2 linked regions of the Caenorhabditis elegans genome follow. The protein of the gene in region 2 binds, or shares a complex with, the protein of the main gene of each other region. Each region holds a gene or a part of one and is shown on either strand. Other genes may lie near its edges.

Region 1 (4,683 bases), 6.0 Mb from region 2:
ATTTGATTATGGCTCCGTTGACTCCCACGCCGGCAAACAAGCGCTTATCCGAAGAAGCTGAACCAATCACTCACACGGCTACTTCTTGACGACGACGAGGACTGATTAGCTTTTCAGTTTGAGCTACTGAAATTTTTTCGGGTTATCCCATTCTGCTTTAAAATTTTCTTAATTCAAGTTTGAGAACGGGCTTATTCTTGTGGGTCTTCCCACGATCAATCCAGGAAGAGAATGACAAGAGTCTTCAAAGCCACATTCCATGACCCTAGAAGGACTTAAAAATATAAATATTGAAAAGAACCCAATAGTAATTTTAAACGAGACAGGCTTCTTTCGTATATTTGCATCCTCGTAAAGTCTTTTTTGTTGGACAATTTCTTATTTAAAAAAATCACCAAAATTTTCTGAATGTTTTTCAGACTGAGTAGGACATTATTTTTTAAACTTCTATCATAAATCTCGTGTAGTTTCATGAAAAACTCCCACCCATTTTCCCACTGTCATGAGTCAACGGGAAAGCAAAATTCGAGTACAAATTAGTGTTCTCCATTTAATTTGTGGCGTTCAACACATAACTCGTTCGCCCCTTCATTTTTTCTTCTATTCTTGGTAGTCGCGTATCACTTCTTATTCTGATCAAATAAATTTTTTACAAAAAAATTAGAGCTGAGCATTCAGATTTAATTATTTTTCTCAATATCGTGAGAAAAGGTTTATTCAATTTTGCTTCAGCCACTTGCTACAAACTACACCATCTAACGGCTAACACCATGTTCAGCGAGCATAAGAAGAAGCAGGAAGAAGCAAAGGTTTGTTCTTATCTGTATTCAAAAACGAACCGTTACCCGACAAGGTTACGAATTTCAATCAGAAAAAAATGTTCCAGAGAACCGAGAAGAATGGAGAATTGATCTTCGATGACCTGGATGCAAAAACTCGTGATCTGAAACTATCGGATCAGGCAAAAAACGACAAAAGTGAGTTAAACCGAAGGAAAAGTGTTCATAAAATCATCAATCTATCAGAGTACATGTCGGAGATGGAGACCAAGAACCCGGTAAGTCAATTTTTAATTTGTTGAAAAAATAGTTGATTATCTGAAATTTTAGAAAAGAAAATCTATCAAGAAAAGCGACCAAAAACCGTCAACGATGTCGCTGAATGTAGGAAAGGGTGGTGTGGAGAAAGAGAAGGAAACGATTTCCTCGCAGCGGAGCAATAGTTTGGAATCTCCAGGACTAGGAAGTCCCCAAAATGTTGGTCTCGGGATCTTTGAGGCAGCAACTATGATGCGCAACATCGGTAGATCTTTAAAAAAAAGTCACGTAGACATCTAAAATTACTTTTTAAGTTGACATCACAACCGACTCGACCACTATGAAGACGGGTAAAACGAAAACATTGAAATCAAAGGAAAGCAAGACCTCACTTGGTTCGGCAAGTGGGCCATTCTCTCAGATGAAGGAGGCTCAGGAGATGAAGAAAAAGAGCAAAAACAGCTTTGAACTGGATGATATTGACAACTAAACTAATATGTTTTAATACTCATCGTGTATACCCAGTGAATTTGTTTTAAAAATACTAATACTAATCGGTAATTGGCATTCTCAAATTTTGCAGAGACCGATTTTGTCAAAATAATGTATTGAATAAAGTGGTTTGATTTTTAAGATATTGGGTAAAAAAATAATGAGGCAAATTCGTCTTAAAACGAGCGGAGGACAAGTTAAATACAGAAAAATAGAACACAAAACGTGACAAAATATCGCATGTACGGTGTGCATTCGGAAACAGCGTTTTGTACGCAAGCACTGAACACCACGAGCAAATGCACCACGAGAAAAGTCATCCTTTTTTAGCCAAATTTGGAACAATATTGTTAACAATTGTTTCTTCAATTCGAGTTATCTTTTAAATATTAAAAAAGACATTATATTTTTACTAGTTATTTGAATTTAATTTTTTTTGACGGGAAATAATTTGTTTCTGTCCGACATGTTACTTTCCAAATCAATTATCAATACTTCAGTTTATTTGTGATATTCATTCCTCGTAATTTTGCAAGTTTGTTCTCTATTTTTTCATCTTGGTATTTTCAGCTTCCTTATCAAACATTCATTTATTTATTTCAGAGATGGCTGCTATGTTCAGTAATACTCGCTCGGTCGCTTCCTCTTCTGGCCATATTGTCGAATTCAAAGCTGGACGCTCTCGCCTTGAAGCTGGATCCGGAGATACTATGAGAAAAGTTGTTGCTGAACCCAAAAAGGGATTGGTATTCATTAAGCAAAGTAACGACATGCTCATCCACTTTTGCTGGAAGGATCGTGAAACTGGCGCAGTTGTTGATGACCTCATAATCTTCCCCGATGACGCTGAATTCAAAGCTGTTCCTGGATGCCCTGATGGCAAAGTGTATATGCTCAAGTTCAAATCTGGAGATATGAAGCTTTTTTGGATTCAAGATTCAACACCAGACGTTGACAAGGATCTTGTGAAGAAGGTCACTGACGCTCTGAACAAGCCGCCGACATCTCGTCCAGCTGCTTCCCGATCGGCTGGTTCTAACGCAAACACTGATCGTCAGTCTGCTGGAGGATCACTTATCTCTAGCTCAGACATGAATGCTCCCCTTGGAGGCATCGATCAAGGGCAATTGATGTCATTGATTCAATCTCTGCAAGGCGGAAACTCTGACACTCTTCCAATTTCTTCCGTGCCTCGAGGAGAGGACGCATCGTCAGAAGCAGACTGCGAGCCTTCGACGAATGCAGCTGAGGAAGGATCTTCAAATCCACTTTCCTTGAATAACCCGGCGATTCAACAAATCTTCAACAACTTGGGACGCTCACAAAAGAAAGAGGTGGCAGTCTCTCTGGCAACTGCTCTGTCGAATGAAACGGTTGCTGAAGTTGCTCGTAACCACGCTGAAGAGCTCGCACCGCATCTTCCAACTTCTGATGATCCAGCCCGGGAGCTTTCTGAGACAGTCAGAACTCCGCAATTCAGACAAGTTGGTTTTTAAAGCATATTATATTTTAACTGTTCTCTATTTTCAGGCTGCTGATACACTTGGACATGCACTTCAAACTGGTCAACTCGGGCCAGTAGTTGCACAGTTCGGAATGGATGAAGCCACAGTTGGCTCCGCGAATCAAGGTGATATTCGTGGTTTTGCTGCTAATCTCACAAAGGCTGAGGGAGGAGAAGATGCTGCCAAGACTCGTAAGTTTACTTGAAATTCTGAAACATAGTCTCACGTTCGTTCAGCACGGGTTGATAACCCGATCTGCCGGAGAGCTGTGATGCCGTCCGCTTATCTCGGCTTCTTTTCCCCCTCAATTGCGGCAACGGTGTCTCGGCTAGGTACGGCGCACTCTCAGTTGTTGAGTTTTTACTCATTTTTGAATATGTCACTAATTGTGATTGTCCTTTTGTTTCCTTTCGCACTATGACCATTGCGCCATTCCTTGTAAAATTTTGCTGCTCTTAACACTTAACACCTATCCATTTGCTATTTCAAAAACAATTTTTACAGTACCGTAAACCTCTGTACTTTTGATAAAAACATCAATAACCATTGTTAATTGTTTGCAGAAAACTCGGACGATGACGCCACTCGCGAACCAGAGCCAAAGCGCAACCGTCCAGACAACGAAGATATGGATGTCGATTAAACTCTCTGAATAAACAAATTCTTCATCACTTTTGTGCATATTCCCCCTTAAACTGTGTTCTCCGTGTTCCTCTTTTTCCGACTCGTCCCTTTAGTATTTCTTCATCATGCCAGAAATGGTGTGATAAGATAGTAGAGCGATGTTTATCGACCACTTCTCTTCGCTCTCTTTCATTTATTCGACCTTCAAGACGTCCCCATTTTTATTCCATTTCGAGAACTTATTTATTCATTGTAAAGTACTGCAAATAAACCCTTTTTACCATCAATTTGAAAGTTTCGGAAAGAACTCGTAATAGTAGCGATTAGTTTTATATTTTTCAAAGTTTATTGGAGTGCATGAGTTTCAAAAAAGTAAAAACGTGACCTCATGAAAATTTTTAGTTTTCATATGTTTTCGTCATAAATAAATAGTTACAAGAAATAATGGAGTCGTCTGACAATTTACATGATATAGATAATCTTGAAAACGGTAAATAAATAGTGTATAATTTATGCACCTTGCATCTTTTCTGCCTGTTATTTCCATTGAAATTCTGTAAATTCCAGGTAACATGGCTTGCCAGTGCTTCTTGGTTGGAGCCGGATACGTGGCTCTTGCAGCTGTGGCTTATCGTCTTTTGACGATTTTCTCGAATATTTTGGGCCCATACGTTCTTCTGTCGCCAATCGATTTGAAGAAAAGAGCTGGAGCTTCTTGGGCTGGTTCGTTTCTATATTTTTACTCTGGTGATGTCTTATCGTATAGCACTCAGAGAACTACTTTTGGTTCTCTGGAACTGTTATCATTTTCAATTGATAATAAAATTGCAATGAAAAAATTGTTGCGTAAATATAAAATAATTGTTTTGAATTTCAAACAAAAAATACATTTTTCAGTTGTCACCGGAGCCACTGACGGAATCGGAAAAGCATACGCCTTCGAATTGGCTCGTCGTGGATTCAATGTCCTGCTCGTTTCGCGTACCCAATCAAAACTCGATGAGACGAAGAAGGAGATTCTCGAG
Region 2 (4,928 bases):
AATCTCATTATTTCGAGCTTTCCTAGCTTGAAGTCGACAAAAATTCGATGATAAATATTACAAAACCACAAAATGCCGAGAATGCGTACTGTGCAACACATTTGACGCGCAAAATATGGAATATCTCGTAGCGAAAACTACACAGTAATCCTTTAAATAAGACTACTGTAGCACTTGTGTCGATTTACCAGCTTTGATAGAGCCCGTAAATCGACACAAGCGCTACAGTAGTCATTTAAAGGATTACTGTAGTTTTCGCTGCGAGATATTTCATATGTTGCGCGTCAAATGTGTTGTGCAATACGTATTCTCAGAATTTAGTGCTACCGTAATAGTTTCGCTTTAAAAAAAAAAAGAAAAAATCCCAAAAAATCACATTTTCCCATTTCAGGTTCTCGACTTCCACAATGTAAAATTCCAAGACTACAACGTTCTGACCGATCAGGAGCTAAGAGAAGGTGTCAAGATTTTCAGCGAATGGCCAACAATTCCACAAGTCTATGTGAAGGGAGAGTTCGTCGGCGGATGTGATATTCTCATTTCAATGCACAAAGACGGAGAGATTTCCGACTTTTTAGACGAAAAGGGAATCTCGAATAAATATGGGAAGCAATGAATAATCCTGTTAGAAATTTAGACGTTTTTTTTTCGAATAAAGATTGCATTATTCAGCAAAAGAAGGAGAGCACGGGAGGTCAAAGACAATAAATAAATAGGGTCCATTTTTTACAATAAAATCAGTGAAAGGGGGGGGGGGGTAATCGATAAAAAAAGTCGAAATTTGCATTTTTATTTTTACTTCCACAACTTCTTGATGGACATATTCTTCTCCGAATCCTTCTGCATAACCTTTCCAACAGCCATCTCGAAATCCTCCTGCGTCACATGAATACGTCGCTCACGGAGCGCGAACATGCCAGCCTCGGTACACACCGACTTGACTTCGGCTCCCGATGCTCCGGGAATTTGCTCGGCGATCTTGGCCATGTTGATACCTCGCATCAAGTTCATCTTGCGCGAGTGAATCTTGAGGATATCGGCACGAGCCTTCTCATCTGGAGCCGGGAACTCAATCTTACGATCGATACGGCCGGGACGGAGAAGTGCGGGGTCGAGAATGTCGATACGATTGGTTGCCATGATGACCTGAACATTTATATATAGAAGCTTGGAATATTTATAGGTGGACTACGCTAAGTGGGATGACCGAATATTATGATTTAAAAAATTCAAAAAAATTTTCTAGATTTTATATGCTTTTTTGTTTTGAAAATTGAAAAAATCTCAGTTTTCCCCTAATTCCTATTTAAATTACTGCCAATTTAACTCGTTCGTTGGGGCGCGCTTGTAGTATTTTCATTAATTTTTTAAAATTTATTCTCATTATTTCACTGATTTTCTTCATTTTTTGAAGTTTTTTAATCGGAAAATAAACGAAATAAACAAGACAAATGCAAAATGTTTGTTAAAAAGTCCGAAAAATATTAATTTCAGGCTCGTCGTCGTCGGAACACATAATTTCACCTGTTTTAGGCATTTTCAGTTATTTTTTAATGAACAATTTGCATTTTTCTTATTTATTTCTTTCATTTTCCGATGAAAAAACCCCAAAAAATGAAGAAAATCAGTGAAATAATGATGAGAATAATTTTTTTAAAAAATTAATAAAAATAATGCAAGCGCGCTCCAACGAACGAGTTTAATTGGCGGTAATTTAAATAGCAATTAGGGAAAACTGAAATTTTTTCAATTTTCAAAAAATTATATAAAATCTAGAAAAAATGTTTTTTTTTGAATTTTTTAAATCCTGATATTCGGTCAATATGCTCCTTTTGCACACCTTAATATTCTTCGTCGCCTCAAATCCATCCAGTTGATTGAGAAGCTCGAGCATTGTTCTCTGAACTTCCGAATCTCCACCACTGGATCCTTCAACTCTGCTAGATCCGATCGAATCGATTTCATCCATGAAAATGATCGATGGAGCATGCTCACGAGCCATCACGAAGAGCTCACGAACCATTCGTGCTCCTTCTCCAATAAACTTCTGCACCAACTCGGAGCCGGAAACTCGAATAAACGTGCACTCGGTGTGATGAGCAACTGCACGAGCCAACAGTGTTTTTCCAGTTCCTGGTGGTCCAAAGAGCAAGACTCCTTTTGGCTGAGCAATACCAAGAGCATCGAAGAGCTCGGGATGCTTGACTGGCAGCTCGATAACCTCCTTGATCTCCTTGATCTGCTTGTCGAGACCTCCAACCATCTCGTATGTTGAATCAGGAACCTTTTCGACCATCATAAGCGAAACCAGCGGGTCCACCTTATTCGGAAGAAGCTTATGAAGAGCATAGCTGTCGGCTCGGAGTGCAACACGTGCTCCTGTGTTCAGTGAGTTGATATCAATGGATTTATCCACGTCGACGACATATTTTCCTTCTGGATGAACTTTCACAAGAACTTTCTTCTTATCCATGGCTTTGCTCACTTCACCGACGTAACTTCCTTGCTCGTGGAGCTGCTGAAGCTCTTCTTTCAGCATACGAACTTTTGTGTTGAGCTCATTACGCTGAGCTTGCAGACGACGCACATTTTGTGATTTGTCGGCCACTTTTTGCTGAAATACTTGATAAACCCTTGGGCTAAACTTTTTAAAAAATACAACAAACCTGCGCATCATCGACTTTTGTGCTGAAATATTTGCGAAGAGTTTTCTCATCGGATTCTTCGGTCAATTTTTGAGCCGTTGGCTTAGAAGGGTCAGCTGATGAAGCAGTAGAAGCAGGTGGAGCCATTAACACTGGAAAAAATAAATAATAGCTTTAAATAAGTTGAGACTAATAAAAACTGAAATAACACGACAAGAAACGTGTGGATCTCTCATTTTTCCCTGGAAATTGAATTTTCAAGCCAATTTATCGAAAAAATCGCCTAAAAAAACGAATTCAAACCTTGAAAACTGATAAAAATTGAGAAACTTTAAAAATGATGATATTTCAACCGGAGAACCAATATGGCGTCAATTGTGGCGCCACGTACGCAATGCTGTACACGCCGACGCAAAAATGCACAGTTGTGTTTACGTTAAATTTAAAGAAATATTAGATTGATTTCCTCGTTTTCATGTTAATTTCTTGATGTTTTTCTTCGAAATTTAGAAAATTAAAGATTTTTCGTCCAATTTACTGTTTTTATCTTCAAAATTACCCGCAGAAATTTGTTATAAACCTTTATTTAGATCTGGAAATGCGTTTTTTTCTGAAACTTCCTCAAATCATTTAGAAAATATTAATATTTGAAGAGGAATATTTTTAGAGTATCCAGTATTTCAATTTTCTGTGGAATTGAGAAAAATTACTGTTTCTGTTTTTTTTTTTTTTTGAAATTTCAACTTGAACAGTAATCAGATTTTTTACTATTAGTGCAATTTCTTTGAATATTTTAAATAAAAAATCCTCCTCGATCCCAAGAAACTCCAATTTTTACTATATTTTCTCAAGAAATGCGTTCAAAGTCCGCAATCGCGCGAGAGCAGCGGCGACACTGAAGAGACCGCAGAGAAGCGGCACGCATTTCGGAAATAGTGTGTGTTTGCAAGAGAGTGGCCCCCCGATTAAACTAGCGCGCGTAAAATTTTTGCATTTTGTTGTTTCGTTCCGTCTGGAAAATTCGAATTTCGCAGCATTTTAATTCATATCTCAGCTCATTTCGCATATTTTTTCCTGAAAATTTCCAGTTTGGTCCGTTACCTTATTCCGGTTAATATACTCGAATTTCATAAAAATCTACGGATGAATCGCTAAGTTATCGCTAGAAATGAAATTCTTTAAAAAATTTTGCCCGATTAGTAATTTTTCTGAAAATCCACGTGGATTCAGGATCCTTCGCGACCTGAAGTTTAAAGTTAATTTTCCAGATTTTCAATGAGGATTTTTGAAAGATTTGATATTTCTTGGCATAAGTTTTCCAGCTTTAATCCGGATTTGGTCCAGACCCCACAAAATCGATACGACAAAAGGGGGGAGGAGGCGGAGACTTGGCACAATGCCAAGTCTTTGCTCTCTGTGTCGTCACGTGTCTTCGTGTTGGCTGAGTATCAAACGTTATAGTGTGGACACCAATTTGGCTTCGTACTTCTTACTCGTTCCCGCCCCGCCCCGACACCATTCGAATATATATTGTCAGTTGTTCTGTTTGTCGTCGTGATGAGAGGTGCGTGCGTGTGCGCGCGCGCTCTCCCAACTTTTCGGACCATTTTGCGGGCTTTATACTGCAATTTGGCTCATTTCTTCTCCTTTTTTTTCCACAGGCTTATTTTGTACTCTCGAGTTGACAGCCTTTTTCGGTATAGGTTGGAAGTAGTCCATTAAAGTAGATGTTTCTTAAGAATTTATCGGCTTAGCATCGATTTCGACCTAGTTAGATGCCACGTTTATGCGCGAAGCGGCCGCGTCGCGGCGAGAATTTCAGTGCGGTTTTACGGGATTATCCATTAAAATCAGGAAAATCAGCAGAAAACTTCTTAACAAAACTAATTTTTTTAGAAAAGAATTTAGAAATACGTAGTCTTGAATAATTCAGCAACTTTTTCAAATTTTATGAGAATTTCGCAATTTCCTACACCTCCTATTTCATCATCACTTCCGAAATCCTACGTTATCGATCGAACACGCGACGCGACCGCAGCGCACCTACTAAGCGCGCGCATTTCGACCGTGACGCGACCGCAACGCGGTGGTGTCAGGGTGCGCGCGCTTTTTCAATCATATGTGGTGCGGTCGATTCCTTCATTCATCCTTCTGTATGCAGCTGCTCATCAGTTTATTGAGCATCTGCTGTACCAATTCGTACTTTAAATTAAATATTAAGAGTACATTTTCTGTGTGCTCTGTATATAAATGTCTAGAATAAACTGCAAACAAGAATTCTTG

Evidence for each region.
Region 1: rpt-6 (region 2) and rpn-13 share a complex: the UniProt entries of both Caenorhabditis elegans proteins name them as parts of the 19S proteasome regulatory particle complex.

What each region holds. Positions count from the first base shown.
Region 1 is NC_003281.10:6,339,375-6,344,057, reverse strand, and holds rpn-13 (Proteasomal ubiquitin receptor ADRM1 homolog), read left to right. Parts: upstream 1-2,129; 5' UTR 2,130-2,134; coding exon 2,135-3,013; intron 3,014-3,059; coding exon 3,060-3,225; intron 3,226-3,270; coding exon 3,271-3,366; intron 3,367-3,597; coding exon 3,598-3,677; 3' UTR 3,678-3,945; downstream 3,946-4,683. Other genes in the region: C56G2.9 (DUF4604 domain-containing protein), read left to right, coding at 771-809, 887-977, 1,026-1,057, 1,110-1,302, 1,352-1,527; Very-long-chain 3-oxooacyl-coA reductase let-767, read left to right, coding at 4,103-4,148, 4,226-4,381, 4,556-4,683. UniProt on the Caenorhabditis elegans protein: May function as a proteasomal ubiquitin receptor. May promote the deubiquitinating activity associated with the 26S proteasome.
Region 2 is NC_003281.10:12,368,325-12,373,252, reverse strand, and holds rpt-6 (26S proteasome regulatory subunit 8), read right to left. Parts: upstream 2,798-4,928; 5' UTR 2,793-2,797; coding exon 2,667-2,792; intron 2,615-2,666; coding exon 1,841-2,614; intron 1,147-1,840; coding exon 796-1,146; 3' UTR 645-795; downstream 1-644. Other genes in the region: glrx-5 (Glutaredoxin-related protein 5, mitochondrial), read left to right, coding at 392-616; his-72 (Histone H3.3 type 2), read left to right, coding at 4,203-4,209. UniProt on the Caenorhabditis elegans protein: Component of the 26S proteasome, a multiprotein complex involved in the ATP-dependent degradation of ubiquitinated proteins.